2 linked regions of the Drosophila melanogaster genome follow. The protein of the gene in region 1 interacts with the protein of each later gene in a pairwise test. Each region holds a gene or a part of one and is shown on either strand. Other genes may lie near its edges.

The links.
Region 2: the proteins of Mob4 (region 1) and rau interact in a two-hybrid assay, tested with the Drosophila melanogaster proteins (2 studies listed by BioGRID).

The regions. Positions count from the first base shown.
Region 1 is NT_033778.4:6,682,133-6,698,519, reverse strand, and holds Mob4 (MOB kinase activator 4), read left to right. Parts: upstream 1-1,858; 5' UTR 1,859-2,120; coding exon 2,121-2,180; intron 2,181-2,254; coding exon 2,255-2,628; intron 2,629-2,676; coding exon 2,677-2,926; 3' UTR 2,927-3,406; downstream 3,407-16,387. Other genes in the region: Rab2, read right to left, coding at 1-74, 135-471, 945-1,104, 1,591-1,636; CG3270 (uncharacterized protein), read right to left, coding at 3,449-4,558, 4,868-5,080; Rpp25 (ribonuclease P/MRP subunit p25), read right to left, coding at 6,014-6,227, 6,284-6,400, 6,457-6,638, 6,695-6,802; Tdc2 (tyrosine decarboxylase 2), read left to right, coding at 10,018-10,147, 10,210-10,517, 10,678-11,112, 11,167-11,381, 11,734-11,860, 12,741-13,249, 13,359-13,548; CG15909 (uncharacterized protein), read right to left, coding at 14,163-15,204, 15,265-15,281.
Region 2 is NT_033779.5:5,872,002-5,889,054, reverse strand, and holds the start of rau (rau), read left to right. Parts: upstream 1-9,556; 5' UTR 9,557-10,067; intron 10,068-17,053. Other genes in the region: CG9029 (uncharacterized protein), read right to left, coding at 2,620-2,954, 3,002-3,035; CG43185 (uncharacterized protein), read right to left, coding at 3,656-3,789, 3,852-3,882; Sfp26Ac (seminal fluid protein 26Ac), read left to right, coding at 4,304-4,325, 4,379-4,549, 4,613-4,674; CG44574 (uncharacterized protein), read right to left, coding at 4,736-5,040, 5,096-5,176, 5,234-5,273.

The sequences.
Region 1 (16,387 bases):
CCAGCTGCTCCTCCGGCTCCTGGGAGCGACGGGTTTGTGGGGGAGTGCTGTTGGCCGATCTTAATGCCGTTTGCCTAGTAACGAGATAATAATGTAGTGGCAAGAAGTTTCTAAGTTAAATGTATCCTTCTTACCTCATTGTTGATGTCGAAGACACCTTCCTGGATCTTCTCGTAAATCTCTTTGGCCGTATTTATGAACGCCTCCTCTACGTTGGCAGCTGTGCGCGCAGAAGTCTCCATGAAGACCAGTCCGTGCTCGCGGGCGAAGGCCTCGCCCTCCTCTTTCTTCACCTCACGCCGCGAATCCAAATCGCTCTTGTTGCCTATCAGCATAATGACCATGTTCGAGTTCGAGTGCTGACGCGCATCCTCCAGCCAGGTGGTCAGGTGGTTGAAGGTCTCCCGTCGCGTGATGTCGTACACCAGCAAGGCGCCAGCAGCTCCGCGGTAATAAGAGCGTGTGATAGATCTATTCAAGAAATATTTTGCGTCACAATACAGTTATATAAATGACAGTGCTTATATTATTTAATTATTAGTAACCCATTAAATTTCTGTCTGACGACTTCTATTTAATTTTAAGTAAAGTATAAAAAATTTATATCACAAAAAATTAAAAATGATAGAATTAAAACTTTTTTAAATAAACATCTATCAACAATGTGCCGAAATGAAGCAAATAAAATTTTTTGAATACAAATTATTAAGCCTTTTTACTAAAGGCTCTATATATATATATTATTATTATTTTGGATCATTAAGTAAGAATTTTATTCAAATTATTTTATTTAATATAAAAAACGAGCCGAATTATTATCCGCCTTGGACTTGGGGTTTTGGATACGAAATTTGCAAAAATTTATTCAGTTCAATTTTGGAAGTAATCTGAGCTTTCACTTATCCCTTCTTAAGTATTAACACTAAATGAACAGAAGTGGGTACCTGAAAGCCTCCTGCCCAGCCGTGTCCCAGATTTGAAGCTTGATCTGCTTGCCGTCGATGGTGATCATGCGTGCTCCGAACTCCACGCCAATGGTCAGGTCGTGCACCGGCTGGAATCGCTTGTCCGTGAACTGGAGCAGCAGACAGGACTTGCCCACGCCTGCGGAAACGGAAAAGGGTTAGTGGGCGAGCGGGGAAAAGGTGGGACAGGCTGGAAAATGCCAACAGCTGTTGGACATCCCGAAAAGCAGAGTGCTGATAAGCCCGTGGCTCTTTGGGGCGGAATCCCTCAATTACTGGGGGTGGTTGGGTGAGTCAGCAGCAGGGTTTATGTGTGGGCTGCTCCCCGCGCACCACTAACTCTGAGAGCAGCAAACGCCTGTATGCGTTGTTATGGTATTATTGATTTTTCCTTCGGCCCACCGACTCCAGGAATATTTTCCTGCCGACGCAATTTTGATCTCACGGTATCAATTTTTCACTTGAGACCACCTGAAACCCCCATTTTTTGATTTTCGGGTACGACCCCTACGCCTGCGATGCCCTTTGTTTTGTTGTGTTGTTTGCAATTACAGATTGTTTCCCTGACAATGGCCAACTTTTCACTGGCCATTCCGTTTCAAAGGAAGTCGCAGCTTGCACTCACCTGTGTCTCCGATAATGATGTATTTGAACAAGTACGCGTAGGACATGTTTTAAGCTGACGGGGGTTACGGTAAGCTAGTTTTTAGAAAGTACGATCTCGTAATGCCACAGATAATACGCAATTCTTGTACGTTTTCCAATCTGTTCGTATTTATGATGACTGGCTAGCGACAGTGTGGCCACTTTGTGGCCAGGGCTGGCGGAAATACCGAAATACCGCAAGGCTGCAATCGCCCTATCGATAACGATGCGCACTGCCGCTGGCCAATCGATAGGTATATGTATGTATGTAGAATTTGTCAGAAATTTTCTCGCACAAAGCAAAGTGTTTTGGAGGATAAACGCCAATTAATTGTCAAGCGATGTGCCAGCTCCTGTAGAATACACTCAGCATACTACGGTGCAGGGATCCCACATCCGGAGACTCCCGCGGGGCAGGGACCAGGCTAGCATTCAGTTTCTGCCAGTGATTTTCTCATCAAGGCGTAGGCACAGACGTTGTGGATCATCGCGTCTTCGAGCGGGTGAAACATGAAGATGGCTGACGGCTCGACCATATTGCGTAGGAACCGGCCAGGCACAAAATCCAAGGTGAGCGATGACATGGCGTCCGAACAACGATCCCGGCCCGGCCCGTCTGACCCGTTTTCCGTTTCGCCTTTCAGGACTTCTGTCGCTGGCCCGACGAGCCCCTGGAGGAGATGGACAGCACGCTGGCGGTGCAGCAGTACATACAGCAGCTGATTAAGCGCGACCCGAGCAACGTGGAACTCATACTGACCATGCCCGAAGCCCAGGATGAGGGCGTGTGGAAGTACGAGCACCTGCGCCAGTTCTGCATGGAGCTGAACGGCCTGGCAGTGCGGCTGCAGAAGGAGTGCTCGCCGTCGACGTGCACCCAGATGACAGCCACTGACCAGTGGATATTCCTGTGCGCCGCGCACAAGACGCCCAAGGAATGTCCGGCCATTGACTACACACGCCACACGCTGGACGGTGCCGCCTGTCTGCTAAACAGCAACAAGTACTTCCCTAGCAGGTATGCAGGCTTAGCGACATGGTTGAACTAGCCACATAATAAGCAAAGTGTCTCTCCCAGGGTGTCCATCAAGGAGTCGTCGGTAACCAAGCTGGGCTCCGTATGTCGGCGGGTGTATCGCATCTTCTCGCACGCCTACTTTCACCATCGTCGCATTTTCGACGAATTCGAGGCCGAGACGTATCTGTGCCACCGTTTCACGCATTTCGTCACAAAATATAATCTGATGTCGAAGGAGAATCTGATCGTGCCCATCAACGTGGGTGAAAACGCGGCCCCTGGCGAAAGCGAGGCTTAGGAGCCCGCCCAGATTAGTCAGACTCGCATGAAACACTCATTCAACATACATCTATTTATATTTACCAATAGCTTGCAAGTTGGGTTGGCTCACCCTGACAGGGAAACGATTCCACGCGGACCCGACTCTAATGCAGATCTTGTATGTAGTTTAGATGTCAGATACACATAGAGCTACATAACGATAACTAAGTAACAAGGGCAGACCCCCTCAAACCCGCTCGCCCCATCTGATCCTAAGTCAGCAATTATTTCGCAAGTTATATTACGATTATGTTTAACTCCTTATTTTAATAAATTATATGTAGGCACACGACCTTCTCGTGGCTGATTCCACGTCAAATCCCCGTAAACTAAACTAAATTCCCTTGACTACTGGCAGCCAAAACACCAACACAGCTGTACGTGACTAAAACGTGAACTTTACTATACAAAATTACTATATACACAACAGAAATTGCAATAAAAGAAGTACATACATAAACACACCAAGGGCAAGTACGATCCTCCTGTGATAAATTTGTCAAACGATATTCACTTCGTGCATAGGCTGTTGGTTTACAAGGCGTTCGAAGCCGAGGCGCGACAGATCCAGTGTGGTAAACTTGCCGTCCAAGATTAGTTCGGAAATGGCTCGACCCACGGCGGGAGTCTGCTGAATGCCGTGCCCACTGAAGCCTGCGGCAATGAAGAGATTGCTGTAGTGAGGATGCCTGCCGATGACGCCGTTTGCGTCAAATGTGTTGTGGTCATAGAAGCCCGCCCAGCTGCTCTGTATCTTCACAGACTCAAAAGCAGGAACTCGGTTCGCCAGTGTGGGCCAGACATCCGTTTCAAAGTACCCGTGGTCCACGTCCAGCGTTTCGCACTCCGGCTCCTCGTCTTCGTTTGGACTGCGGCCGCACAGGAAGTTGCCGCAAAGACCGTCCCGCCTGAAGTAGGTGCCATCGGGATCAACGGTCAGAGGTGTGGCTAGCCCAGGACAATTCTTACCCTGAGTGCTAACCACATAGACGTATCGCTTGCGAGGCTCCACCGGCAGGGCTACACTCAGGGAAGCCTCCTTTGCTTCCTTATCACCAATCCCTGCCAGACGCGCCACCTGACCCGAGTACGCTCCCGCTGCCAGAACGCACGTGTCAAACTTCACCGTGCGCTGCAACACATCTCCGGCGTCGACCACAGCTCCAGAAAGGCCGCCCGAATCGTTCCACTCAAAACCCACTACCGAACCGTTCGCGAAATTCGCCCCCAATGCACGGGCCTTCTTCTTGTAGCCCATGAGCAGGGCCCACGGATCAAACCATCCCTCCTTGTCAATCCCGTGGCATCCCAGCTCCACGCCCTCTGTGGACAACCACGGAAACCGCTGACGCAGTGCCTCCGGGCCTAGCAGCTCATTTCGGGCCCCCAGCTCGTTCTGTAGCTTTGAGTTCTTTGCTAGGATGTGGGCTCCCTTCTCGGAGGCAAGGATCAGGTAGCCGTTCGGCTGGTAGCACAGATCCACGTCGCCCAGATGCTCCCTGCCGTTAACCACGAAGTTGTATCCGAAGAGCGACATCTCTATGTTCTCGGCCAAAGAGAACTGCTGCCGCACTCCGCCTACAGAAAGCACTGTAGATGCGCTGGTGTACTGGAAAATTGTATAAAAATTGTTGTTATTCAATAGCGAATAAGTTTCAGTTAGATACCGAATAAATAATAATTTTTAATACAATAGGAAAAGTATTAAATTGGTAGATATTGGATATTGGATATATGATCAGAGCAAAGCAACTACATAATTATTTTTAACCGTTTTGAAACCAAAGGTTCAAACATTATTGGGGTAAATTTTGGATCCCTATACCTTAAAATTGAAGGTGTTCCTACAAAAATTGTAAGATATTGTTGATACTTTTTGAATAACTCTGTGTCGTATTTTAGGCCACCTTGTACTTACACCAGCATCGCGCTCCACCACCAGCACATTGAGCTTGCGGCCCAGCTGCAGGGCCCGGGACTTCAGCCAGAAAGCGGAGGAGGCGCCCATGCCACCGCCACCTATTATCAGGACTCCGCAGCTCCCGGGAAGGACATCGCCTTGCGGCTTGCCACTTAACGAGCGAAGCTGACGCAGTGCACCCAATCGCAGAACTCGTCGCAGGCCCAGCATTTTTCACACTAACCAGCACCGGCACCTGCACATTCGTGGGATGATAACGCCATTGAAATCCGCCAGATTAGATTTGTGCAGCTTTTCCTAAGTGCTTTGTGTGCACAGCAATGAATGCGGAATTACAGTAAAAGTTCCTTCGGCGGACTGATCTGCTAATTTGGGCTGGAAACATCCTTTTTCAATCATATCCCATGAGTAAAGGATTTAAACATCACATTCGACACAATTTTTATTTTGTAGTTCTTGATAAATAATTAAAATTTGGTTCAATCGCTGTGAATAAGAACAATCTAATTTTTCTGACCTAAAATATCAAATAAACGGTTTGTTCTGCATTGGTACTTACTGTCCACATTTAATAGATGCTTTAGCACACATTATCAGCTATATTTTAATTTCTGGGTATTGAATTTGTATTTGACAAACAACTAACACCAACTCACCGATTTCGAATTTCAACTGATAAGGGAACCCACAAAGTATTGTTTATTGTCCTAGGTATAGAAACTGTATAATATTATCTTAGCATAAGGCAGCATATTCGCTTCATTCCTTTTTAAACAACTTGGGGCCATTGACATACTAAGCTATAACGAAATCTTTGCAAAAATAAATTAACGAAATTACCGATATATATTTACATTTCTCTTCTTCTACTTGTACTTTATAATTGCTTATTAAACTTTCTAATTTAGATTACTTCACATTCGAATTAAAGAGCATCTACTGTAAGTTTGAGAAGAGTTCTATAAGAGTTCTATAAAGAAGAATTATACAAAGACCGCGCTTATCTTCGGAGAGCTAATCTTTTATTGCCCGCAATTGCGTTAATACCGCTGGTCTTTTGTGATAAATTGGGCTTTATTTGTACATCCTTACAAAGGGCAAATAAGAAAATCTTCGCATGGTCCGCTTATCTCAACCTTGACTCTAACTGGCGGGTAAATTCTCTTCAGCGGCAGGTTTTTCGGGTTGTTGGCCTGGTTTATTGCGTCCGGGTCTGGTCCGTTTGTTCGGCCGACCCCCACGCCCAGCCCCTGGTTTATGTGGCTGCTGCTGATGGCGGGGCTGGGAACGTGGATGTGGCTGTTGCTGTGCTCCTCCGCCATCCCAAAAATCAGTGGACGTATTTGGCTTTTGTAAGCTAATCGGAATATACTTTAACGCTACTGATGCATTTGATATTCCGTTCTAGCTTACCCATCTATAGTATCCGGCAGCTCGTCCAGACTCATGAGGATGTGCAGGGTGGGTATTTGGCGTGTGACTATAATCTCCTCCAGGCCTTCCATTTGCGGCTTCCAGTGCTCCTCCACACTTTGCGTAGTACATTATAAAAGTTATTGCACATTGGCTGCTTATTGCCGACTCACCTGGTGTAGGCCATGCGCGTCACCTGGTAGAGGGGGTGGCTCCGCTTGAGGACCTCGGCACAGGATATGGTCTTCACCACTCCTCCGCCGGATCCGCTCCACACCACGCATCTGTGCTCGCCCTTGTTCAGCGCCTCCTGAGCAAACTCAATCACATTGCTCACTTTGGTACCGCCTTTTACCTTCGCAAAATGGATGCTTTCAGGCAAGGATTTGAAACATTGTTAGTGCTACTCACATGCATCCACAAAAAATCCTTTTGGGACTTTGGCATGCAGTCCTCGAATGGCAGATCGCTCTTGCTCAGCTCCTTCTCCACATTCTCGGCCTTGCGGTAGTGCATCATTTTGAGGCCTTCCGTAAAATCTGCAAACAAGATTGTTTCACTCTTTCAGAAATATAATCTCGACGAAGCGCTTCAGCAACAACCTTGAACCTATAATGGCGGAAAAAAGAGCCCGGAGGTCCAGAATCTCGAGAACCAACTTAACAACCAACCACTCGTCGTAAACTGTCCGAAGCAGCTATTGCGACCATCGCAGTCCGTGGAAATTGAATAATTGCTTGGTTTATGAGCCGAGAGAGCAGGGACAGAACGGAAGAACCATTCTGCAATTCACCTACACCCTACACGTACGTCATGTTGCTCGAAAAAAGTTTTGAAAATCTTTGAAAACGATAAGGGTTCAATTAGGAATTTAAGCTTAAACACTTTATTTTAGGACTGTTCTAACATGAAAAATTTTAAATTTACAAAACAATATCGCATATTTGTTTCAAATGCAGATGGTTCGTATATGGTTGAAAAACTTGATTGAAGAAAACTTATTTTCCGAAATTAGTAATCAGGAGAATAATTGAAACGAAAAACATCAGTTTTCCCCAGAAGTAAGGCAAACCCAGGGACAAAACCATGATGCTCTGCACATTGATATAATTCATTTTGAGGAGGAGTTCAAGTAAAAGTCAATAAAAAACCATTTCTGCAGCAATTAAATGAGCGCGGATGCATGAGCGTTTTCGCAGCGTTTTCCCATTAAATAAAGCCCTTCTGGGATGGGGATGGGGATGGCGATGTGGCCAAAGGGAAAGGAGGTCACCGGGGGATGATAACCACAGGAGCATGATGCCACTTGTTGAAGCTAAGGCCGAACAACATTTCAGTGCCCGGAGATGGTTGCTGCAGCTGAATTCGACAGCAGCAATGAAAGTTTATTAATGAACTTTCATCCAACAACGACAAAAAAACGAACAGGATTCGTATGGCTGTGCGGGATGATGATGGCAAGTACATGGGGCCACGTGTCCCAGACAATTCTATGGCCCAGTGCAGCCGGATCCAAGGAGCCCGGGTTGGGAAAGGAAAACGGGCTGGAATTTTCCGAGAGGAATGCGTTGAAATTCCTTCGACTCCGCTCCTGCCTGCGCCTCTCTGCTCCGCCTGGGCCATCGTTGTCGTCATTTCCATCGTCATAATCATTTGGCATCGCCACCATCCCCATCAAGTACGTTCCGAACAATAATTCAATTTGGCGCGGAAGTTATTAATAAAACGATTCGCACCCCGGCCAAGAACAAGTGGGAAGTCGGGACGTGGGAAGCTGTCCTGTCAGTGTAATTTGTTGTGTGTTTATGACAACACGTTCTTTTAATTAACTCATCCATGGCGAAATTGAGTTGCACTTTAAGAGCAAATTAGGTTTGCTAATCATTTAACAATTCGAAACTCAATTTTCCACAGCTAAACGCAGCATCAAGCATACGCACCGTGCAACCACTCACATGGGCAACGGTGGTTATTTAATTTCTAGCTCGCCCATTCTATTCCCTGCATATCTTCACGCACAACGCAGGCGAATTTCGAGCCCCACTCCCACAGCTCACAGCTATGAATGAAGCGTCGCAAGAATTCCATTTATTTGCCATTTCAATCGCACCAACCAGCACCACCAGCACCCTCAGCCCTCATCCCTGGTCCGGCCCACTGAAGTATGCATTCATTAGACATGCCAGGGCAGCCGAAGGAGAAGCAGCAGCCACGGCAGCTACGACCGAGCTTAGCTTTTGGCCAGACCGCAGAGCAAGGATCAGTTTGGTTTTGCCAGTCGGGGCCAACGGTTCGTGGTCTCGAGTTCGAAACAAAATTCCCATTCGCCCATCGGAATTTGCTCAGCACAAGTAAGTGCCCCGGATCCGGAAGTCGATTCGATAATGGATAATGGTCAAACCATGCGGGAATTGTATACTTTACAAAGCCGTAAAACGTGCCTGAGGAACCGCAGTTTAATTACAAACAAAATTGATGTTTATGCTAAATACATGTGATTAAAGCAAGCAAAATTAGGGAACAACGCACTATATCGAGAAAAATAAATCTAAAATAGCGCCAATTTATAGTAAAGTTTACAAATCAGAATTGAATCAGCGGTTTCAAAAAAGCCACAAATAAAGCTCCAGCCGAAATAAATCAGATCCTATAAATAACATAGCAATGAAAACGGAATAAATTCTTGTTTGCCAACAAATTGTAATGAATTTTTGAAGAAAGTGGACTCTATACGAAAACCTGCCTGGGAAAAGATTTTCTTTGTTCTCAAAATTTTTAAAATCATTCTTGTTACTCCAGTTTCTGTTTTAAAAAATTACTCGGTCTACTCGAGAAAAGGAAAACCAATTCAAGGATCAAGGAAACACAACTTTAATAACAAATTTAATAACAAATGTGTTATCTTAAGATGTTATATTAACTGTGTGGACATCACCTTTTTTATTCAGATGGTTAATTTAACAATAATACAAATATGATACAAGCAAAAACAGCTTCAGTTATAAAATTCGTATTCGCGTAGTCGCTTAATACTTTTTTTTTTGACAGAACTTAAGGATATTAATTTAAACTTTATCAATGAGCGGACAAACATGTTTTTTTCTAACCAAAATGCTTGCAAAATGTAAAACTTTTTTTTTATACAAAAAAGTCAGAACGTATATATTATATACTCGTAACTACCATAGGAATAATTAGAGATAAAAATTAAAGAAAAATGTACCTTCGATGCTTTTGATCCCTTATCGGTACACGCCACTTTTGTGGGGTAATATATTATTTCAATTTTAATTTGCCTAAAATCAGACGACAATTATTATTATTTATATAGTAGGAACAGTCGGCAAGTTAATTGAAAATAATAGTTTCGTTGTTCCTAATTATAAAATGTTCTAGCTTGGTAAAAAACAGTTTTTTCAAAACTATTTATTTAGCTAGTTTCCTGTTTTGCTCTAATTTTCTTTTAAAACTTTGTCCAAGAATAAAAAAAAACATTTTTATATAAATACACAAAATAATACGAATAATATCCGGAAATCTGGAAATAACCGACTCCCCAAATTTTGGAAAATTTGTTCATTCAATAAAAATTGAATATAATTGCACGTACTGCCCCACTACGCTGATTCATTGTACAATTTTTAAACTTTTCATAATAAAGCTCACCGTGGGAGTAAAAGAAAACGGAAAAATAGGAAAACACTCAGAAAGGCGATTTGGAAAACCTACCGAAAATGGACAGCACCGAATTTCGAAAACGTGGCATGGAAATGGTGGAGTACATCTGCAACTATCTGGAAACGCTGAACGAGCGACGGGTCACGCCCAGCGTGGAGCCGGGATATTTGAGACACCTGTTGCCACGTAAGCCACAAAAATGACCGCAGAACCTGGTCAGTTTCTCCCTCACCACCCCTCTCGAACAGCTGAGGCACCGCAGGAGCCGGAGGACTGGGACCAGATCATGAGGGACGTGGAGGACAAGATCATGCCCGGCGTGACGCATTGGCAGCATCCTCGCTTCCACGCCTATTTTCCGGCGGGCAACTCGTTCCCCTCTATCCTGGGCGACATGTTGGGCGACGGGATCGGGTGCATCGGCTTCTCCTGGGCCGCCAGTCCCGCGTGCACCGAGCTGGAGACCATAGTGCTCGACTGGCTTGGCAAGGCCATCGGTCTGCCGGACCACTTTCTGGCCCTCAAGGAGGGCAGCACCGGAGGGGGAGTCATCCAGGTAACATAAATCTTTTATAGGACGACGGAACTTTCTTTGGTCCGGTACATAGATTATAAGAGTGAAGAAGGCCGACTTAGTTTGTAGTTTTTAAATATCTACATATAATATAACATGATTAACTCGTCCGTGTCTAACAATGGCTCATTTTGGCCACCAGACTTCCGCATCGGAGTGCGTACTGGTCACGATGCTTGCTGCCAGGGCACAGGCGCTCAAGAGGCTCAAGGCCCAGCACCCGTTTGTGGAGGAGGGTCACCTGCTGTCCAAGCTTATGGCCTACTGCTCCAAGGAGGCGCACAGCTGCGTGGAGAAAGCGGCGATGATCTGTTTCGTGAAGCTGCGCATTCTGGAGCCCGACGACGACGCCAGTCTGCGCGGCCAGACGATCTACGAGGCAATGGAGGAGGACGAACTGCAGGGTCTGGTGCCCTTCTTCGTCTCCACCACTCTGGGTACCACGGGCTCGTGTGCGTTCGACAATCTGCCAGAGATCGGCAAGCAGTTGCAGCGATTCCCGGGCGTTTGGCTGCACGTGGATGCCGCCTACGCGGGCAACAGCTTCATCTGCCCCGAGCTGAAGCCGCTCCTGAAGGTGAGTGGTATTCCCACGGCACGCATGGCCAATCTGACTGGATTTCATTCACAGGGCATCGAGTACGCCGACTCGTTCAACACCAATCCCAACAAATGGCTGCTGACGAACTTCGATTGCTCGACGCTGTGGGTGCGGGACCGCATCCGGCTGACTTCAGCCCTGGTGGTGGATCCGCTGTACCTGAAGCACGGCTACTCGGATGCGGCCATCGACTATCGTCATTGGGGAGTTCCACTCAGTCGGCGTTTTCGTTCGCTGAAGCTGTGGTATGTAGCATGTGCCATATGGGGTCCGAAAGCCCTCGATAGCCAACCAAGTGCGAATGGGTCTGTTGACTGTTGTCGACAATTGAATTGTTTTTGGATTGGAGTGGAGTGGCGTTAAGTATGCTGGCTTGTTTACTCAAATTATGCCCTCGTGTATTTGCTTGCGATTAGTTGTTAAAGCAAGGGTTTCGGTGCTCCGTGTGTGCCGAATCTATCCCGCAGATGAGATGAGTCCACATCGAAATATGACAACGCCAAACATACGTTTATTGCTAATTGTGACCACCCAAAAGAATATTATTTGCCCAATTCCACTCTGAGTTTGCCTGTAGAAAGACTTGTATGATTTCAGGTTCGTGCTGCGATCCTATGGGATTTCCGGGCTGCAGCATTATATACGTCACCATATCAAGCTGGCCAAGCGGTTCGAAGAGCTCGTGCTCAAAGATAAGCGCTTCGAGATCTGTAACCAAGTCAAGGTGAGACATATTTGCTTTCGTTTCGTTTTCTATATGTGTTTTAAGTTTTATTTTCAATCGATTCGGTTTATTTCGGTAATTAATCATGCTCAGAGTTCAAAGCTCTTTTGTACACCCCACGAAATGTGTGGGGTTTTCATTTGCCACGGGCAACCGGGTGGGAGTGCGGGTCCATTATGCGGACCAAGGGCCGAGCGCCCATGTAAGGTCCAAAAATAGTTGGGAAATGGATTGATTCGTGGGTAACGCAAGTGTCCGGAGCCCAAGCTCTGACCACGAAGACGTGAACTTGTTCACACCGCCTTGCAAACGAAGCAAACTAAGCAAACGTGCGCAACTACACGCCAAATTCCGCAAAGAAACGGGCGCAAAAATGGATTTCTTTTTCGACCCGACAATGGAAGTGTTTTGGCATAATTGCTATTGAAAATCATTTAGAGACAGCCACAAGTGATTCATCGAGTCAGCGACTGACACATGAACGTTCAAACTCGTTGAGCGTAAGCGTGGCCAAGTCAATTGGCCGATACGATTCGATTCGGTAGCGGATCTGCAGATAGTCACGTTGTAGTTTTCCAACTAATTACATATTTCGGGAGTAAAAATAAATCAAGCTAGCACATTGTTAGGATTTCTTTGTATCTTGCTAAACTTTCGCCAGATAACTGAAAATATTAAATATATACTTATGATTTAAATCGCTTATAAGCATAAACGATGGAGACAATCGCTTATAAGCATACACGATAGAGACTTCGGATCACGCTATTACTTTAGAAGTTTCAAATACCTTCATGTTTTGATTTTTAATTTTTAGTTTGGTTTTAGTCATTCGCCGCAGATTTGTGGAACCAAAATAAATAGTATTTGATTCCATTAGCTGGGCCTGGTCTGCTTTCGGCTGAAGGGTTCCGACAAGCTGAATGAGAAGCTGCTGAGCATAATCAACGAGTCCGGCAAGCTGCACATGGTTCCGGCCAGCGTGGGCGATCGCTACATCATCAGGTTCTGCGCCGTGGCCCAAAACGCGACCGCTGAGGACATTGACTACGCCTGGGACATCATCGTGGACTTTGCCAACGAGTTGCTGGAGAAGGAGCAGCACGATGAGCTGTCCGAGATCATGAACCGCAAGAAGCAGGACACGCTGGCCCAGAAGCGCTCATTCTTCGTGCGCATGGTCAGCGATCCGAAGATCTACAACCCGGCGATCAACAAGGCCGGCACTCCCAAGCTCTCAATGGAGCTGCCCTCGCCCGTTGTGAGCCGCGGCAGTGCCCCCATTATCCGGACCCAGAGTTCGGTGGACCACAACTCGTGGATATCCTGGCCGCTGGCATTCCTCTTCAACAGCAACAACGAGGAAAAGGGCAGTAACGTCTCGTTGCGGTGAGTCTTGTTCGAAAGTACTTGGAAAGTATTTTAAAAGACAAACAGTGAAGAGACAAACCACCGAGCTTAACGAATAATTTGTGTCCGCCACATCCTTTTCTTTCAGTTTCCGACACCTGGACACCAACGTACGACCATCGTCGTCGCGACGAAACTCCGGAGCCGGCTCGTCACCCTCTCCGGAAAACGAGTTGGACTACGTGAACGTCCAGCAGCAGCAGATGGAACAGCGATCGCCACGACGATCGCCCATGGCGGTGCGCAAGGCATCGTCCACGCGGGACAACCTCAACTAATAATATTCACTCCGTTTATGGAACAACTATAATACAGTATTAGCGCTTCCTTAGGTCAGGCGCCTAGTTGAATTCTAGACCAATCTACAATGCGGTGGCATGCCACAGTAAAAGGCTTTTTCTGAATTCCAATATTGAAACTTTATAGAATACTATGAGTGCCGTGGCGAAAATATCAAACGAACATCTTTCTTGTTTATGAATTGCAATAAATATTATTTCATAATAATATAATATAGTCATACAAGGCTGAAGTGATCGGTTGAACACTGCATGTCGTCAACCCATTAGCAAAATTTGTATTGATCTCTGTTTAATCAACATTGAAAGCAAAAATATGCTTAAGTACTAACAAATGGTAAACAGAAATATCCTGCTTTTCTTTGCTTTCTTGCGCAAGGTAAACAGAAGAAATCCAAATAATCATGGTGATGCCATTGATATGACGTACCATCATTGTCGATCGGCATGAAATCGGAAATGGAAACGTATAGATGTATTTACTGTGCACGGGCATGGATTCCAAATGGATTATGACTCATTGAACAGAACTCATATATTTTAAAACGTTTTATGAAGATGAGTGCATGTTTTTGGGAAGGAGAACCGCGGTTCTAAGAAACTGTCGGCTCTTTTCCTTTTTGAGTGGGTTCCTTGAAATCCAAATTGCGCCCGAACACTCTCACCAACTGGTTCAAATAGGCCTCCTTGTCCACGCTTGAGTAATGATCCAGTCGACCGTTTTTCATGTCCCAATTCAGATAGGTGGGCGCGCGCAACTTCGATTCCACGTTAGATGCCTCCGTTGCGGTCTTGCTCCTCTGGGTCTCCGCTGCTCTAAGTATGGGCAGATCAACTACGGATTTATGCAATAAATTTCGGGGAGCACTTTGCGCTGTATACGCATGCAACTCGATATGTTCTAAAGTCAGCGGCTTGTCTTCTTTGGGAGCCATCTGCACATTATCAAGTTTTTGGGTTGCTCCTGGAGGAGCTGGCGCTAGTTGATTTGGATGGGTTTCTAAATGCGAATTGGATTGCTGTGAGTAGTGTGGGCTCGTCTTTTCAATCATTCGCTGCAATATTTCATCATAACTTTGTGCTGACTTCCCTGGATCCTTGTCTATTGGATTTACTTTAATCTGCCTACGGTATCCTGGCTGATCCTGACCGGTACCTGCTACCTGCTGCAACTCTTCCAATCGCCGCTTCATTGCCAGCAGCTCTTGCTCCTGCTCACTTGACTTGGCCGTGGTCTTGGCCTTCGTTGCCTGGCCTTCGATGACTTTCAACTGCTCCAAACTAGAGAGCATTGTGCCCGTTGATAGCTGAAAGCCACGTTGATTCCTTGGGTAAGCTTTTGCCATTTCTTTGGGTCTTACATTGAAAGTGACCTCCTTTGTGTGATCCCGTTTAGCCCTTTTTATTCGTTGCATCAGGGCATCCAGGCTGTGCTTGATTCTTGACGCATCCTCGTAGTTTCTGGGCAGGAAACCTCGTTTTTTCAGATAGACAACTGGCGACTCCCAGTTCTTAATCAAATTCTGCACGACCTCATTATAGGCATGCAATGGGTCGTCTGTCAAATTAGCTGTGAGTCTTGACTTGGCGTTGGACTTTTGAAATACATTCATGGAGCTGAGCACGAAGACATACCTGTGCAGATTGATTGGTTAAGGGATGTTTAAGGAATAGTAGAAATGTGTAAAAATTCACCATAGAACAAATCGCATGGCAACTGCGAGTAAATGAATAATTGTTAATAAAATATATCGTTTATGGTTACGTTTTGAAAAATAGGGTTAGGCTATAGAGATGTAAGAGAACTGGTGGGCAAAAGGTCATCTTTCAAAGATTCTCCAGCCTTTTGTCAATAAAATCGTAACCTTAATAGCTCGAATCTATTACGCAAAATCACGAAATATTAACTTGGAAACAAGTTCGGATTCATTTAATTAAATCGCCAAATAACCTGAGCCATAATCTACTGGCGCCAATATATTGAAATTCAAAGTATCGTCTGTCAAAATCTTTGACACCCCCAAATCGAATAAACCAATAAATAAATACCGTACCCATAAATTAGTATGCCCCACCAGAATGAATGAAATGCCTAAGGTATGATCTGGCAAAATCCAAAACAAGCGAAATTGCCAAAAATAAACGAAAATAGAAGAGCCTCGGAGCACGAAATCTTCATATGCAGTATCCGTCAGCTATTGTCAAGCACGCGCACCATCAAATAAAAAACACATATATAATGCAAATTTTTGGAAAAATCTACAGGCAGCTCTCGAACAGACAGACAGAGGAGTCTGAACATCAATCTTCCATATCTCAAGCCTAATCACACTTTTTCACCTCAACCAACAGAAATCCCCTTTTGTAGATGCTGGATTCCTTTGAGCAAATGTAGCTGAACTCATTTAGAAAACATTGGTGATTCCCAAGATTGGGCGCTCTTTAAAACTTGTTCACACTGTCAGTAAATATTGAAATATGAAATAAAATATTTGAAATATAAATAGCATTGAAATAACATCCAAAATCTAAAGTCTTTACCAAATATCACACAATCGAAGTTAGCGATGCTCGACTGTATCGCGTCCTCATGGGAATTTTGATCGGTGTTTGGCAGTGCCAACTGCCATAATTAATGGTTAGACAACAAAAGCGTTAGCCGCGCTCCCAACACACATCCAAACACGCAGCCGGGTTGGAGCAGAAGCAGCATCAGAAGGCGGATGGATTCGATGGATGATGGCAATGGCCATCGAGCATTTCGATGTGTGACCGCGTAAACTGAATACGAACTTATATTTAGAAGCACGACGTCATC
Region 2 (17,053 bases), on another chromosome or scaffold:
ACAGGTTTCCCCCAATCGCTTCTCCGGGGTTTCCATCTCAATCAATTAGATTGAAAGTGAAAAGCTGAAAGTGCGAGTGAAAATGATTTGCAATCAAACCACTTTGATTAGAGCATTCATTTTGATTAGCTCTAATGAGGCGGGCGACTGACGGCAGCGTATGCAAATGTCGATATCTGTAATTGCCGCGTCTGTTTATGCAATTCTGATGGTATATAAGTGTGGGTCCCCCTCTCAATTTCTCCAAACAGCAAGTAGGCCCAATCGGCTATTGGGGGGCACCCGCACAGTAGGAAAAATTAATTTCAAATTTGTTTCAGACCCAAAATAATAATCAAAAAAGTCAGCAGACCACAAAATTAATTTGGGCTTCTGTTTCTGTTTCTCAGATGCGCACCACATGAGCTCATGAGATGCGGCCGTACACTTTAACAAAATGCGGTTTACTATTCGAACAGTAAAAATATACAAAAAAAGTATTTTTTTATCATTTCCTAAAACCACACATAATAATTTAATAATTAAATTTAATACATTGCTATTTGAATATGCATTTAATGATGCCGGTTTGAAAGGGTATACACAATAACGTTCAATATCCATTTTTTTCTCAATTTGTTCGTCTGCGCTTTCAACAAAGTGGCACTTGTTCTGATTAACCCTTTGGTGGAAGCCCAAATAATTATAAATTAATGTGTAACCATCTGCCGTTCATTCCACTCCTTTTCTTTAATATTTCCATTGTTTTCCCTTTTCTGAGTTGGTTAATATAATTATGTGGAGCGTTGCATTGGCTTTAATTGTGCCGCTTTTGATGTTGTTTTGGCACATATTTGGTTGCCAAACGAGAATTTTTTGTTTACGAAAAATATTTGTGAGTATTTTCGTAGCTGCAAAGAATCTTTAAGATGTTTTTTACTTGTTCGTAAATAACTCGGGAATAGAAGCTAAATTTAACAACAGAAGTGTTTCAAACACCATGAAGAATAACGAATCCTGAACTTAACCGCATCGAATTTGCTTTATGGCTTTTAAAAACTAACTTTATATTAGAGCACTACTTTCAGTATACTTTTGGCTAATAATGAAGGTCTTAAGAATCATGGGTATTGTAATATTTTTACGTTTAAATACGTGTCAGATATATAATCTTCTTTATATTTTCATATCCATTACAAGCTGTTGTTGGCGTATCTTTATTGTTTGTTGCTAACGCAAAGCAAAGATGGTACAATTTGCATAAAGGCCTGCCATATCCCATACTAGGACCGACCATTTAAAGTGAAACCTCGCAATAAAGTTCCTTTGTAATGCTGTCTACGTCGAGAATCTTTAAAATCCATCGTAAGGTTTGTTGAGTTATGGCCAAGTGTATAGCTTTAATCTGAGAGATGGCTATGGCAATCAGATAGAAATCAGAAGCAGTGAATAAGACAGGAAATATGTGAAAGAATTAATCCTATCTGAATCTGAATGCTAAAGATGTATCTTAACTACTTATCAAAATTTCGAAAACTGCTAAAAACTAAATTGAACATTCTAACTCATTGACTATCATTTGAAGCTTGCCAATTCTAGTCCATCAAAGGTTTACTTTTCTATAGTTCTTCGAATCTGAAATCGTTATCAATGGCTTTCAATACTATGGCGGTTCATTCACAACCGATTGGGCCAATTTGTCAGTCAACTGTTCATTCAAAAATCGAGATGTGTTAACATGTAAATTGATATCTCAAAATTGTTCACTGCCTTAACGATTGAGAACGAACTAAAGTTGAGTTAAAATTTACGATCGTCGGAAGAGGCAAAAGAAAGATGCAAATAAACCTATTTACATACCATATATGCGATGAATAAACCCGGTGGTAATGATGCCCCACAAATGGATTAACCGACGATGCCCCCCGATCAATGGGGCTTTCGTGTGGTTTTATGCCCTCCAATGCCGGTTGGCATCCAAGACATTGTCTTTGTGGTCGGATTGCCGGCATTCGTGGCGTCGTCAACCTTACACTGCTGACTTCATTGTCGCTTCCTCTTTGTAAGCGATTTTTTCCCCCCAGTCTCGGTGGCTTCTTTTTTTTTTATACCAACGCAAATCTGGCTGGCCGGATCTGGTCGGCTGGTCTCTTGGTCACTTGGTCTCTCCCTGGCCGGTGTCGATGTCATGTGATTGCCGTGGCCCAGTGGACTGTCTGACTGCCTGGCGGAAGTTGTTGTGGGAAATGGATTTGTGTAGCAAATACTCCGCGTCACTTCCCTAAAATCGCGGCTTGTTGAATTCGGTTAACAGAGGTGGTGCTTAATTTATGTACTGATTCAATGTTTATTTATCTTTGATTCATAACATCACGCATATCATAATGGTATTGAAAGATATATCTTAGTTTAGATACCATCTGCTTCTTTTTGGGGGATAGAAATATGACCAAAAAGTATTTAAATATTTTTTTTGCAATTTTATTAATGCCCATGCTAGAAGTTGGAATACATAAATGCATACATTGAATACAGAAGATTAATATATATATGTGTGCGTGTCTCCCTTGTGTGTGGGTGTGCAGGCTCCAGTTGGATTAAGCTGCTGCTGCTGCTCCTTGATGTGGGGTCATGCACCCACTAAGCCGGCTGGGGATCGGCCTGAACATCATCCAGCTTTTGCGGAGCAGTTTCTAGGAGCGGAACCGCAAAGTTGTCTTGCTTATTGGCTTCCAAAAGAGTTGCTGGTGCCGAGGGACTGGGATTCGGTTTGCTCCTCGGACCTGGTTCTGCGTTGGTTCCGGTCCCTGGATTGGCAGATGGCTCGGCAACGGGCTTCGGATCGGCAACTGGACTGGGATTGGCAGCCGGACTCGGATCGGCCACCGGACTCGGATCGGGAATGGGCTCCGGCAGTGGTGAGCCGTAGGCGCCGTGGAGCACCACAAATGTTGCCACTAACAGAATAACGATGCCTATCTTTAGTTTATCAAACGTTGGCCAAGTCGTGCGGACTACTTACCACAGGCGAATGCAAATACGGTCAAGAATTTCATGATCCTCAAACTGAACTGAAGACTGATGATTGCGTTCCCTCTTTTATAGGTCGCCAGTAGTTGCTTCAAGTATGGCCATCAAACGGCGATCAAAATCAATTAGATTTATTGCTCGCCATGCTCACTGATATGGTCAATTCTTTCAGGCCTGTTTAGCATTTCTCTGATAGGACATAATCAATACTGATGCAGTTGCAAGTGCATTTTTAAAAAAATGTTTGAAAACTAAAAAGGTTTGATCATTCTGATGGCTTCGGATAAATTAACTAAGGAAGGGTTTACATTCATTAAAAGATGCTTGATGGAAGTCAATAATTAGTAAGTTGTAGAGATATCCAAGTTGGTTTGGATAATTACTTATTGCACGGAATATTAGGTTGGAAATATACATAAATAAATTGAGAGTCCAATGTGCTTATAAAAAAATAATCTAAAAATACCAGGTATATTCTGCACATTCACAACCACATTGGTTTTTTTAAAAAAATATCAAGCTTATTGAAGTAAACTTTTATTTCATGCGCTCTTAGTATCTTTTAAAATATGCATTTATTTAGAATATATTGTTGGGCAGACAAATTCGTCGAAATTTATTCATACATAATAACACATTTCATATTTCATATATCCCCAGATATCTTATAAGGTGTAATATGCGTTGACGTCTTCGGGATCCAAGGATATTGGCTGATTTTCTTCTCTGCCAAGGTGTGAATGGTATAGCCAGGAATGGTCAATATGGTCAAGATAATAACTTCAAAATTAAGAACAGCTAATATAAAATAAATGTAGTATTGTTGTACATCGATTGCTTACCCATTTCGGTAAGGAGTTGTCTCAAATGCATGGCGTTTGTACAGTCAACTTGCGTAAATGGGCCCGGCTTCATTCGATGTCAGTTTATAACGCACTCTCGAGCTTCAAAGTGAGCATTTGGCCATTAAATCAATTTACAACACATCACAGTCGCTAGGGTCATAAAAAATATATTGATTTTTATGAGTAAAAAAGGGGACTTAAGTTATCAATTGCACATTTTTAAAGAAAAGGGTTTCTTGTTGAACTACACAGCCTGTAGATACTTAGCGCAAAGTATAAAGAGTACCAAGATACAATGGTATAACATTAGCAAATTGAATTTTGTTTTTAATACATGTGCTAACTGTTGCAAATATGATATGTTTCAGTCATAGTTCTGTAATCGAATTAAAGTTTATTGTGTTCTTTTGAGTATTTCGAAAAAGTAGTTTCGAAACTAAAGTGACGGCATGAAGATCCATCTCATATTTGGTAGGACCTCAACCTTTTGGATTCAGATTAAAAATTTAATAATAGACCCGTAGTTATAGTATCTCTGGTATTGGCGAAAACCATTGCAGACGAATGCCTTACCTGTGACTGGAAAAGTAATATCCATTGTGGAAAGGTTGCTGATGGCTCATGTGTGTTTACTGCTCTGAATCGATGCCAAGTTGAAAGAATTTCATGCCGTCGAGAGCAAAAAAAGCTGAAACGTAAGTGGAATATATTAATGTAATTTCGCCTGCAGCAGTATAAATATTTATACACTTTCCCAGCATTCACCGAAATTGTTAAAGGAAAGTGCCCTAAGGACAAAGAAAAGTGCGCCAAGATGTAAAATAAAATCATGGTTCATTTCATCAATTAATATTTAATATTGTTTGAATCCAACAAATCTACTATATATGTTTTATAGTGCTCTCATTCTTGGGGCCGTCAGTTGTGCCACTTTTCGACCTTAGTTCTTCAAGCTCGGACTTTAGGTTTGTGTAACTATCAATGAGCCTGCGAACTCTTTGCCTCAGGTTGCTGCAATTCAGAGTTTGTTCCAACAATTGGGATTGCAATTTTAGGATAACCTCTTTCTGCAGAAAAATAATCCTTTTGAAGCGGTTCGTCCTTTCGTCATTTTTCATACAAAATTCTTTGGAGGTGATGTTTATATCCGATTTGCTATCCTGCAAGTGCATGCTTGCGGATTTTACTTCAACAGACAGATCGTTTAGTAATTTTATAACTTTTAAAATATAAATAGTTACCAGCGAGATTTTTAAACTTCGTTAAAATTGCATTGATGTCGTGCTTGTCTAAGCTGTTAACTAAATGGACATAAAACGTTGCTAAAGGAATGGTTAAATAGTGATTATTAATTTTTAGTTAAATATGTCTTATTTTACCACAAAGAATAAGTAAAATACATTTATAGTATGCATTCATTTCGATGTACTAGATCAAAATGCGACTAGTCGCTTTGGTTTGCTATTTGCAATGAATATTATTTCTAAATCTATTTCTTTACAGTAGTTAACTACTACACAGAAACAAGCAACTTAAATGTACTTTCATTTAAATTAGACAAGCCCTTGTAAGAGTAACGTTTTCCATCTTAGATTCACTCAATTGTGGAACCATAAAAACCTCGAAGAACAAGTCACTTAACAACGCGACCTATCGTTTTATGAGTAATAATTTGATTTGAAAAGTTATAGTTTTTCCCTTCACCTAAGCTTTCTACAACCTGATGCATTTACATATGAATGTGGCAAGGGATCTCGCCATATTGCCCACGCTCCTACTCTCCGTCAAAACAAATAACTTTTCCAATGATTGTATGGCTTTTACTGCTTTCCATATTCCGTGTGGAGTTGCGGAGTTTACTGAGCGCTGTGCGTTGCATTTCCAAGTTTATTAAAGAAACCTATACCCATAAGTTCTGGGCTCCAACGAAATATTTTCTTAGTAGAATTCATGGGCACTGACTTTCCCATGTAGTATAGACGGTTTTATGCCTCGATTGATTTGTAAATATTATGCGTTTCGAATGGAAATGTTTTTTTTGTGTAAATGAATCTTTCGATGGGCAAGGGGAATTCAGCAGTTTTTTTTAAATATATCTGCACATTAGTTGTAATCATATATAAGTTAAGTCTACTTTTCAAGTTTGAAATAGAATAAAAACTAGATTAATTGACAATTAATTAGGTATTATTTATATTTCACTCGGATTTTCAACTCCCTGCTTGTGTAAGCGACTCGAATGCGATAGAAATCGAAAGCTAATGTGCTATTTAAGGTGATTGTTAAAACCACATTAGTTAAACGTGAAAATACACCGCTGAATATTCGTTGCCTTTGGATGTTTGAAGCGCATTATTAAAAGCGTTCTTGGCCCACACCGAAAATTTCTGACTAAAAATACAAATATTTTATGTCCATAAACAGAAAATGTTTCGCATAATAAATCATCCAGCAATAATATATCATTTAAAATGTGAATCTGAATGCACAAAGCAAGCAACTAAAATGAAAATAAACAAGTCCACTTAAAGCGCGTTTGAACTAAAAGGTGTATGCAATATTTTACCTATAATATATATATAAAATTTAACGTTGGTAAAATAAACTTCTGTAACTTAATTATTATCATTATGAATTCAAGCCACTGCAAGTAATTCTCCGTTTAGCTGCTTCGCCCAGCAGAACTTGATATCGAAGTGGTTTCATCAAGAGGTCGGTAAATGAGTTATGAATCCTTGATATCCTTGACGCCTTTTCGCTTGACCTGGCGAAGGCGAGGCCACCTGGCTACGAAATGGCCAGGACATCGGCGGAAGTCCTCCCGCCCTTCCGTCCCTCGACCCGCACTCCAGGACTTGTCTCTGACCCAACTGCCGATGCCACCTGTTTGGGTCTGCAAGCTGTCGCCCCTCAGCTGCTGAAAGTTTGGTGTTTTATTCGGTTTCGGCTTTAATGAGGACCTCCGCTAAGCCGCTCGTGGCACTTGCCACTTGAGCAGACGCCGCAATCGGAAGTCCTTGTTTATGACATGGATACTGAAGCCAACGGCCAGCCAATATCAGCTGCTTTGCTAACCGAACTTGATTTATATCCACCAATTGAGACGATCTCGTTTGGGGTAAGTGATGTTTAGGCCTTAAACGGATAGCTCTTTACTCCGATGCCAACTAATTCGCTGTGCAATCATTTCGGTACAACCAAAGCGGCCTTAACAGGCTACCACCACTTAGTGGCAGGCCGTCTAAACAAATCATTTGAGCGCAAACTTCATCTCGGGTGCCTGCAACTTGATAGATGGCATGAATAGAGTAGCCCTCGCCTTGCGCTTCTCTGCCTCTTTTCGTTTTTTATTTATGGTTTACAGCTACTATTTATAGGAAATGTGCTCAGCACGCAAAAAGTCAGTCGGTGCTTTTTGCACCGAGGGGGAAGTCGGAATCGCAACCCACTTGACAGACTTCGCTGCCATCCGGAGCAGATGCTGATGCAGATGCAGATACAGTTGCAGATGCAGATACAGATACGGATACAAACCAACACAAGTGCAGCTCGAGGCGAGTGTGTTTGGGCGATCCGAGCTCCAACATTTTTGTTTACAATTGGAGCACGTCTGTTTTGGCTGCGGCAGCTGCTGACCATTAGCCATTAACTTGCAGCCGGCCGCGCTGAGTCCGCAATTGCAACTCCATGCGCGTACAGGCCGAATTACCAGGGCAGAACTCGAAAGATTTCTGTTTGTGTTTGGAAGATTGTTGCAAAACATTGTTTCATATTAAATATGATATGCTTTTGTTTTCAATTCCGTGGCATATAATTACAAGTTCGACGGCAAGGGCATCAAATATTTTACTTTAAGCTTTTTCGATGGGCCGTCATGAACAGTTTCGTAGGCTCTACTGTATTTGAGCTGAACAAACACTGTTACTTCTGTAACTGGAGCATACCTTCGCTGCGACTTCATCTTCATCTGGAGTCTGGTGGACTGGAGGAGAGCAGGGGACCTGCATCCGAGTCTGAGCTGCCCTCCCTCAAACTGGGCTGGTGTGTACTTTTCACACGGCTGTGTGAAAAGCGTGCTATGATACCATTTTCATGTCCGCACAGTGCTGCACAAATATTTAACCGTTGGTCAGAGGAATGCCACTTAGCTACAAGATGTAACTTTTTGTGCCCCGAGGACAAACTTTGATACCCTTCAGTCAGAACGGAGAATGTTCTAAGGAGCCAAGCAATTTGACTGGGCTTTATTAACACCTTCGAACAGATCTTTCGGCTTCAATGTGAATACAAAACCAGTATCAATTTGTTAAACGGCGACCTCTAATTAGGGCCTGATTCATGAATTCTTAATTGACCGCCCCGGGTCACATGCAAACATAACTTGCCGTGCTCCAACTAATTAAATTACTCTCAAAAAGCAAACAAATAAAATTGGTTCCGCATTTTTCGCTCAGATTTTCACAACTCTGCGAGTCCGTCGTCCATCAGCGACATCGACTCATCAAGTTCATCTATCAAAGTCTAATGAATTTTACTGGCGCATCAGTTGGTTGGTTTTTTCCTTCCTTTTCATTCGCAAATTATCGAGCAACAAAAAATCTGTTATTTATTTTTGTTTTTCGCTTCGCTGATGATAATTTCACTTTCATTAATAATTTTTGGACTTTTTGACTTTGTCATAATTAATTTTTAAACTTTTGCTTTTCTTTGTTGTTTCTGTGGGGTCTAAAAAACATCAAACCGAAGCAATCTACGACTTGCCGGAATGGAATATCTCGCCTGAATGTTGAACTTTCTTTCACCTTTTCAGTTTACATACTGCCAAAGTTCAGGGCTTATTTCCTGGATTTAGTTTCGCCAGACTTAAAGTTACAAAATCGATCCTGTTAATCGAATACTATAGAAGGAGTCTTAAGGTCTACCTATTAAAAATGCATCAGCTTCATATTGATTGTTGTGGAAACTGTTAAGGTAGTACAGTTTTTGAATTTTCTTGTTGTTTAGTAACTAAATAAACTACTAATGCCGTTCTAGCGTGAACACATATATACATACGATTACTAGCTAAAGTCTTCTGCTTTGAAAACTCCCTGATTTATTACAAGTCCGTAAACTCTAGCCGTGCCTCGCCCTTCAACTTTGGTCATTTATGTAGCTCTGCCCAAGCCCATCCGGCGTCGCTCGACCGCGAATCCCCATCCCCAGATTTCCATGAGGAAACCCACATGCCGGCAAAGTCTAAGTCTGATTGGAAACCAGTTTTCCTCTCTCCGAAAAGAGCGAGCCGCAGACAGAACTAGTTCGCCCGCTCACTCGCCCACGAAGCGCCAACCCACACCCCCAGTGGCTCCATTATGAACGATTTGCGTTTTCCCAAAATCCATTCACCTAACATTCATACTATTCACATGGTATCAGATCAGCTTGGCTCATTTCAAGTTGAATTAAAGTCCCCTGTAGAAGATAAGAAGAGAGAGAATTTTATAGTCAGCTTAAAAAAATTAAATATTAGTTATCAAATTATTAAATAACTTGCTAACTGCAAGTATCTGCGTTGCTTTCCGCTGATCAAGCTAGCTATAGTTTTTTTCTGAGTGCAGAGAGGCGAGAGCGCGAGAGCCAGCTCACACACACATACAAAACAGGTATCTGAATGCGACTCCTCTCAGCGGGTTAGACCTCGCAGACGCTAGCCGTGCGGCTTCAGTGCGTCTGTAAACACTGCCGAGTGCGGTACTCAATCTACATTAGCTCCGCTCGAAAATTTCCAATTCTTAGTGAACTGGCTAACGGTAGCGAGCCTATTCGAACGAAAGTGAATGTGCGTCCAGATCTAAAATAAAATTGGTACGAAAGCCAAAGGAATATACATATGTACAAAAAGTGAACAAATTCGGATAGAAACTCAAAGTGCAACGCTAAAATAAAAATCAGTGCAGCTGCTTCCTGAGTGCACCTGTTTCCCCAGCAGGGAGCACGTACGCATACGCACCTTTGGATACGCGAAGAAATGCGAAGTGGCGTAGAGTGCTTGATAACTTAATGCCAAGCAGCCAAAGGGCCCTAAAAGCGGCAGCCGAAGAAAAACGACGCGACCTTGTCTTGTCTTCGCACTCCGGACTTCTTATACCGCCATCCATCAAAGTCTCGGGCCTTAAGGTCTTGGGATTACACACAAATCACATTTGGATACTACAAATCATACGCTAGAAGGTAAGCGCCCGATCGCTGGTCCAGTTTTCGCTCTTCATCTAGAAAGTTTGATTGCTAGACGAGATCTAGTTCGGTCGATTGGGTTTCTTCTCGCCTTGGCGAAAGTCCAGAATTTTCACAGCCCACTCTCCTGCACTCAATTATCGAATTGCGCGATTAGATCCAGACAGTTTCGCTGGCCAGAGGAGTTGATTGAACCCGCAACGGTAACCAAGCTGTTGGCCAGTCACTTCCTCCATTCCCGAGGTCATCTAGGGGGATTACAATGCAAATACGGAATTGCTGAGCATCATTGTCCGGTTCTTGGCCTCCGACAAGTGTACATCCGTGGATCTGCAACTCGACAATTTGCTCAGCATTTTTTTGAATTTTTATGCAAATATTTCAAACTTCCATTAGAGGGCCACACAGGCGGACATAAGACCTTCCCAGCTATTTTGGAAATGCATAAACATTTCATGTAAATTTCTTGGTCGAGTGACTCTCTTAATTAGTCGAGTTGCTTTGTTGGCCGATTATGAATGACACAAACTTTGGGTCTCGACCAAACATTTGATTTGATGCATATCTTGTAGATTTCTGTGAGAAAATCCGTCTCTGTTGTTTCAAGCTCAGATGAATGATATCACTCAGTTCGGTAACAATGCTCATTGGGGATTTTCGATTAACAATGCCCCCCAATCGGATACACATGTGTATCATTTCATTTGTCTTTGCTGTGCTTATTGTCAAACTCCTTAATGTCAATTCCACATAATATCATCTAATGAGGAGTTGCAATAATAAGTTAGCATTGTCCACCAGACGGCGGTGTAACCATGATTACGAGTGGGGAAAATCCCGATGTCCAAAAGCGGTTGGTTTTGATTATAAAATTGCTAGCCTGAGGTGGTGGTTACCATCACTTTCTCGCAATTTTCAACGCAACCGCAGAAAAGTATTGATATCGAATTAATTTCCTGTCCTCTCGCACACAGGAGTATTCGGTCTGGAGCATTGTTTTCCTGTGGACACTGAGGGGCTAAAGATTTCACATACCAAGCACGTAGCCTCAGACCGTTTGGCCCAACTTGTTGTCTTTGTTAGGTTCTATTTGGCTAATTAAAAATCAGGAAATGCACGAGTACAATACGCCCCAGAGGGCTCAACGTGCTGCGATCCCATCCTGAATTTCAGAAGACTACGTGAGAGAGGGATTACCTTTTTGGGCCTACCTGCTCGTGTGCTACTGTCAAGTGCGGTTTCCTTCAGTTTAGCGCCTTCTGCTTCGATTTCGGAACAGGTAGTACCACCAAATCTGTGCTTAACAGAAGTATCTTGTATTGGGCTGGATACGTGAGCCATGAAAGGATATTCGCCTCATTTAGTCTTCACATTGCACACACGTAGTACTTGCGAGGGGCGTTTTAAAAGGAAGTAGTTCTATTGATTAATCGATGGCAGGAAGTCGAGGGTGGTCTGCATCAGGGATCGTTTATCTTTCGCTGGAGATCTTGGCACTAACATCTCAATTCGCTTTTATAGTTTTTAGCCATTTTCTATCATATTTGTATTTAAGAGCTCCATTCCAGTGAATGGTTGAACAAACCATTTTGTATAATTTCCTCGGTAATTTATGCGTGGCTTTATAGCTTGAGGAAGTTGCTTGACTTCCATATACAGTTATGTACATTCAAGTCTATTGTTTCTTCATCTAACCAAAGACACACCCGCACTGGCAATAAAAAGACAATAGCATTTGTCAATCGACATAAATGTGCGCTAACCGGATTTTTGCGTACATATATGTAAAAGTTCTACTCTAAATTATTCCGGCTATAAAATAAAACAATTTATTTTACTGCAATTTTCCTAAGCTATTTTATTTTATTTCACACCCGAAGTCGTACATTCTCTTGTTGATTCTTAAATTGATTTACAATTTATTCGAGCGTTGGCAACACAATTTGATGTTGGAGCTTAGCATTCCGAAATATTCAAAATTCAATTGAAATGAATGCTGGCCCGAATCGGGGGTTTTTTTCGGTTATATATTATGCACTGCAGCCTCGTTTAACGTTTCTCGCTAACTCGGCTAAATTACAGCGAAAATCGTACTGAGTCAGCGGCTTCAAAATGGTAAATTCAATAAACAAGTTCAGCAGCGAAATGAAAAAATAATATACGACTTCTTTAATATAAATGATGGCACAAAGTCAGCAAAAAACTGGAAGTTGGCGCTTTTACTCGTGGTTTTTCTCTCAGCCGCTCTCGGTTGATATTTTTTTTTGTTGACACTTCGTTTTGTTAACAATTAATTAACAAAAAACCAAGGTACACAAAGCCTGTTAACTGTTTGTTTGCGCACGGCAACCTGTGAGATATGGTGGCGTAAAACAATTATAACGCCTTATGGCATCTGGTTTTCTCTAGCACTACAATGTATAATTCGAAACGATTAGGCATTGGGGAATTTGTGTGTTAAGTGATTCCGTATTGATTTGGCTTTCAGCGAAACTATGTAGTATTAGTCATAAGAAGCAAATTTGCATTGTAAATGGGTTACTGCGAAAAGAGCTTAGAGATTAAGTTGTACTGATGATCAGTCTTCTTATGATAGGAACATCTTGTCTTGGGAAATACCTTTCACATTTTAGTAGATTGTCCTAGATTAATATCCCTTTATTACATTATATAAGCGCAGGTGTCTTCGCTGATCCCCATACTTTGCTTTACGAGCAGAAAAAGTTCATCTGGAACTTTCTTCTGTCCAATTGAGTTTCTTCACCTCGCTTTTATCACTTTTTCCAGCAGTTCAGATGATCCATTAGGGTCAAAAGCTGGGTAACCTTTCGCTATGAACCGAGCAAAACCTCGTAAAACTTTCATTAGGCCGTAAATCTAGCTGCGAAATGTATCTCACAGTGGCCATCTTATCGGCTGGGAAATCGTTCTCGCCACTGACTTTCCACCAACACGTGCCTCTGTAATCCGCCCACCTGAATTGGCGACCGATTCTCACGCCTAAAAAGAAAAGCAAACTTACCACTTCAGTTCGCATTTGTGGCTGTGGATGTTGGCCCAAACCGCAAGTGATTTTGTTGCTGTTGACTTTGCAGTGGCCGGATGGTTCTGCGCCTCCGATTCCCAGCAGCTATCCTGGGACAGGAATTTGCTGGCTCGGACTCGGGCTTAATGCACTGTGGGAATGCGGAATGTTGGGAGTCCCAACAGTTGATTGACTCACCACTGCTGTGGGGATTCATTAACTGACCCTGCAAATGCAGCTTTTACTCGCCTTTAAAACGCTCGTAACCCCTCGATTCCCAGCTGGTTTTGACTACCTGGTAATCAATATGCGTGTAGCACCCATTCGACGGGGGCAAAAAGAGCTAAAGGCCGGAAACTCGCTGGATTAAAGCAAGTGAGGATTATACAAAAAAACAAAAAAAAACTCTGTGCTGAGCCACTGCAAAAAAAGACCAAAAAGCTTGCCCACTTTGGAGCTCTATTTGAGCGTTATTAATATCCGCACATCAGTCAGCGGCACAGCGGCTAAATACAAACACTTGGCCCAAAAGAAATCCAGGGCCCAAAAACCAGAGCGCTCGTATATAAAAAAAAAAACAACTACATTCTTCACACAATTGCACTCTTTGCACATCTCCTTTATTCCCTTCCGCTGGCCATGATAAATTAACCAAGCTAAAGGCCGTTGTGCCGCTCCAGCTGGACACTTGGCCACTTGGCCACTGGACGGGTGACAAGTTGACGTCTTTGTTGGCACATCATGCGCTCCGCAGGGTCTGCTGCAGGAAGCTCCATCGGATTCCCTCCCAGGCGACTTAATTGTGCGTTTGCAAATTTGTGTGAGAATCGGATTGGGTAACACCGCTGAACCTTTTGTTTTTGCCCGCTCTCTCTCCTTTCGGCCCGATTTTTTGGCAGCTCACAGTTTTCATTGATTGGCAGCAGCGCCGTTTTGATTTGTGCTTCACTTGCGCACTGGCACTTTTGAGATATTAACTTGCTGATACAAAACGAAACCGTTTGGTGCCTTGAACCTCAGCTACTGCTCCACAATTGCAAGTGAATCATATGAGTGTATATATACTCATTGCGCTTATCTTGCATCGTCTGAACTCTGAAATAGGAACAAGGCCTGCTGCATTCGCTTTCCCCGTAAGATAAACCATATATCTCGGAGGGTTCTTAATATAGAGGGCTGCTTAATATTAAAGCAACTTAATCGACACTCTAATAAACAAAACGAGGGGAGCGAAGCGCAGAAGAAATATGGAAAATATTAATTGTCGGCGCTTAAGTGGAAGCCTTCTCCTCCTCCATCTCCTCCAGCTTTCATCATATTTATGGAATATGCAAGAAAGAGTGGCATCAAAAATAAGTATTCCAGCCCCCGGTTGAGCGATATTCTGGTCTTCCAGCTCATAACTTCATTAGGGCGAGGCATGGTTCTTCACGGAATTTCGGTTTCTTTTGTATCTTTTAAAGTGGGCGAGCTGCAGATGCATCTGTGGTGGTTTTTTAAGGCCAGCCGCATTTATTTAATGATTAGTTTGGGCCTGTTGTGACTGGGGGAAGGCATTCAAGTGTGGGACAGTAATTTGTGTATTATTTTTAGCTGATTTATCCGAAACAAATGCGCAATTTGTGTGGGGTTGTGTTTGAAATCCCACCGAAGACAATGCAACGACCTTGCCTTGGATCACAAACAACGATTTCCACTGCGAAAAGCGCTTTTGTCTAGAATGGAAATTGGAATGCAATTTGGAAAAGCGCGCTTTTTATCTAAATAAGCGGCACGAAAACATTTTGTCGGTAGAAATCCATGTTGGAATTATTTATTGACAACCGCAAAAACTGGTGTACAATACCTGGCAGGCTTCCAGGAAAAATTCAAATAAAAAAAAAATACCTCTGGCTTTTTGTAATTGTGTAAAACAGCCAAGGCGGAATAAAAAAAGAACCACGCGCTTTTGCTCTGAATTTATAATTTCCGCAGAGAGCTGAAAGCTTTATGATATTTTTTAGAGTTTACCCACTCGATTTACTTTTTTTTTTGGTATATTTTAAATTTATGAGGCGGCAAGCGTTTTCAGTTTGCAGAGCGTTTGACGGGCGAGAAAGTCCATAAAATATGACAGGATTTTAACAGATTTATGAATCGCTATTTCTTTTCAATGAGCAAACGAAAAAATGCAGTGAATTATTTAAAACAGCATATGGGGTTAATTCAGTTGATCAGTAGGAGAATGCATAATTTCGAACATTTTAATTAAATTGAACAATATGCCCAACCGACTGCCACCGACTATCCGATGCTCTTTTTTTGCCGCTTTAATGGTAAATTCATCTAGGCCTTAAATAATCGATCCTTTTATTAAAACTCATTTTGCATCTGCAGCGAATCGTCCTCGAATTACCTCTCATTATCAAGAGAAAACCATTTATTTCCGTTTTTATTGCCTTGCAATATTCATTCAAGTGCCGAATAATTCTGTTCTACGGCGAAAATAAATCACATTAATGCGGCGGTATGAAAAATGCATAATTGATTAATTAATTGAACAACAATTGAGTTTAATTGAATGTCAAATCGAGATTTCCTCGCCACGCTGTTTATTGTGGTTTTCCCCGGATTGGCGCGCTGTTTTATATCATAAGTGCCACTGCCTACATACATATAGTCGTCTATAGCTTCCGACATGGCCAGGAAGATGTCAGGGGCATGCCGCATTAACGGTTAATACATCATCGCCGCCTGAAAGCCAACATACTTGCACTAAATACCGGCGTGGCAACTTTTTTACCTTGCTGCATACGAGCGATGCCAAGTCATTTTCCAGGCGTAATAGCGACAAAATTGCCGAGGCCAATCACCTTCAGCCACTTGTCCCAGCAGCTGCAAGTTCGACTTCCACCTCTGGTACTAACTTGGCCGCTGGATGCGACTAACAGCAGCGAAGTGCCAAGTCAAAGACCGACGGCAAAAGCTCCAACCTGCCCAACTGACTAAGATCTGTCGTCGAGCGCGGCTCGTGCTGCAGCGGCTAAGTCAAAGCGTGACAAATAGCCGATGGATGGAGATGTTCACTTCAGTACTCCCCCTTTCCCCACCGACAGACGAACTTAGTCAGAGGTTTACTTAGTCATAGGTCTAGACTTTAGAGCTAGTAGCGTGCCTTATCGTGCTTATTGACACCGCATCAAGATGATCTCTATGATCGTTTTGCCACTATAAGCTTTTGGTATGTCATATGAAATCAGTTTGGTATCATACAACTTCAATTCGTTGCCATATTTTTGTGGTAACAGAAGTGAACGTTTCGTACATTTCCCTAGACTGTTGTGATATGAAAAACCTGAATTATAAGAATAATTAGCTTGTTATGGTTTCAATGTCAAGGGAACGAATTTCAACTTGTTGCTGGGGTAGCATTAAATTGGCATTTACCTGAGAACAAAAGCCGATGATAATCGACAACAGAGATACCACAACATGGGAACAAATGGGAAAAATGTTTATATAGTTTGAGTAGTCGCACAACTCGAACAGAATCCATTAACTGGCTAAGTTGGACCTAATTTGGCCACATCTCGGATTCTGTTCAGCACAAGTAGAAGAACTGCGTCAAACAAATTTCATGGGTAATTTCATTAGTACTTGGCTGGCAAAAATGTTGCTCGGTCCTTTTGGGAATTCGGAAAACAGAAAACCAGTTTAGTTTTGGCTAGCAGTTACCCAGAAAAGCTGGCAAAAAGTCTACTAACGCAGCTTATGACCGGAGCTCATTAAAATACTGGAAAACTTACTATTTGGTTAGTTCGGCCCTCGAGCAATTCCCGACTTCTGGTAATTTATGGCCCCATGAATAGAATAGTTACACAAAACACATTTTCTGGGCACCAGACACAATCAGCTTCCTGTATGGCGTGGCCCACAATAAATGGAATGTCTGCGCTACAGACTCGAATACAAAGGAATT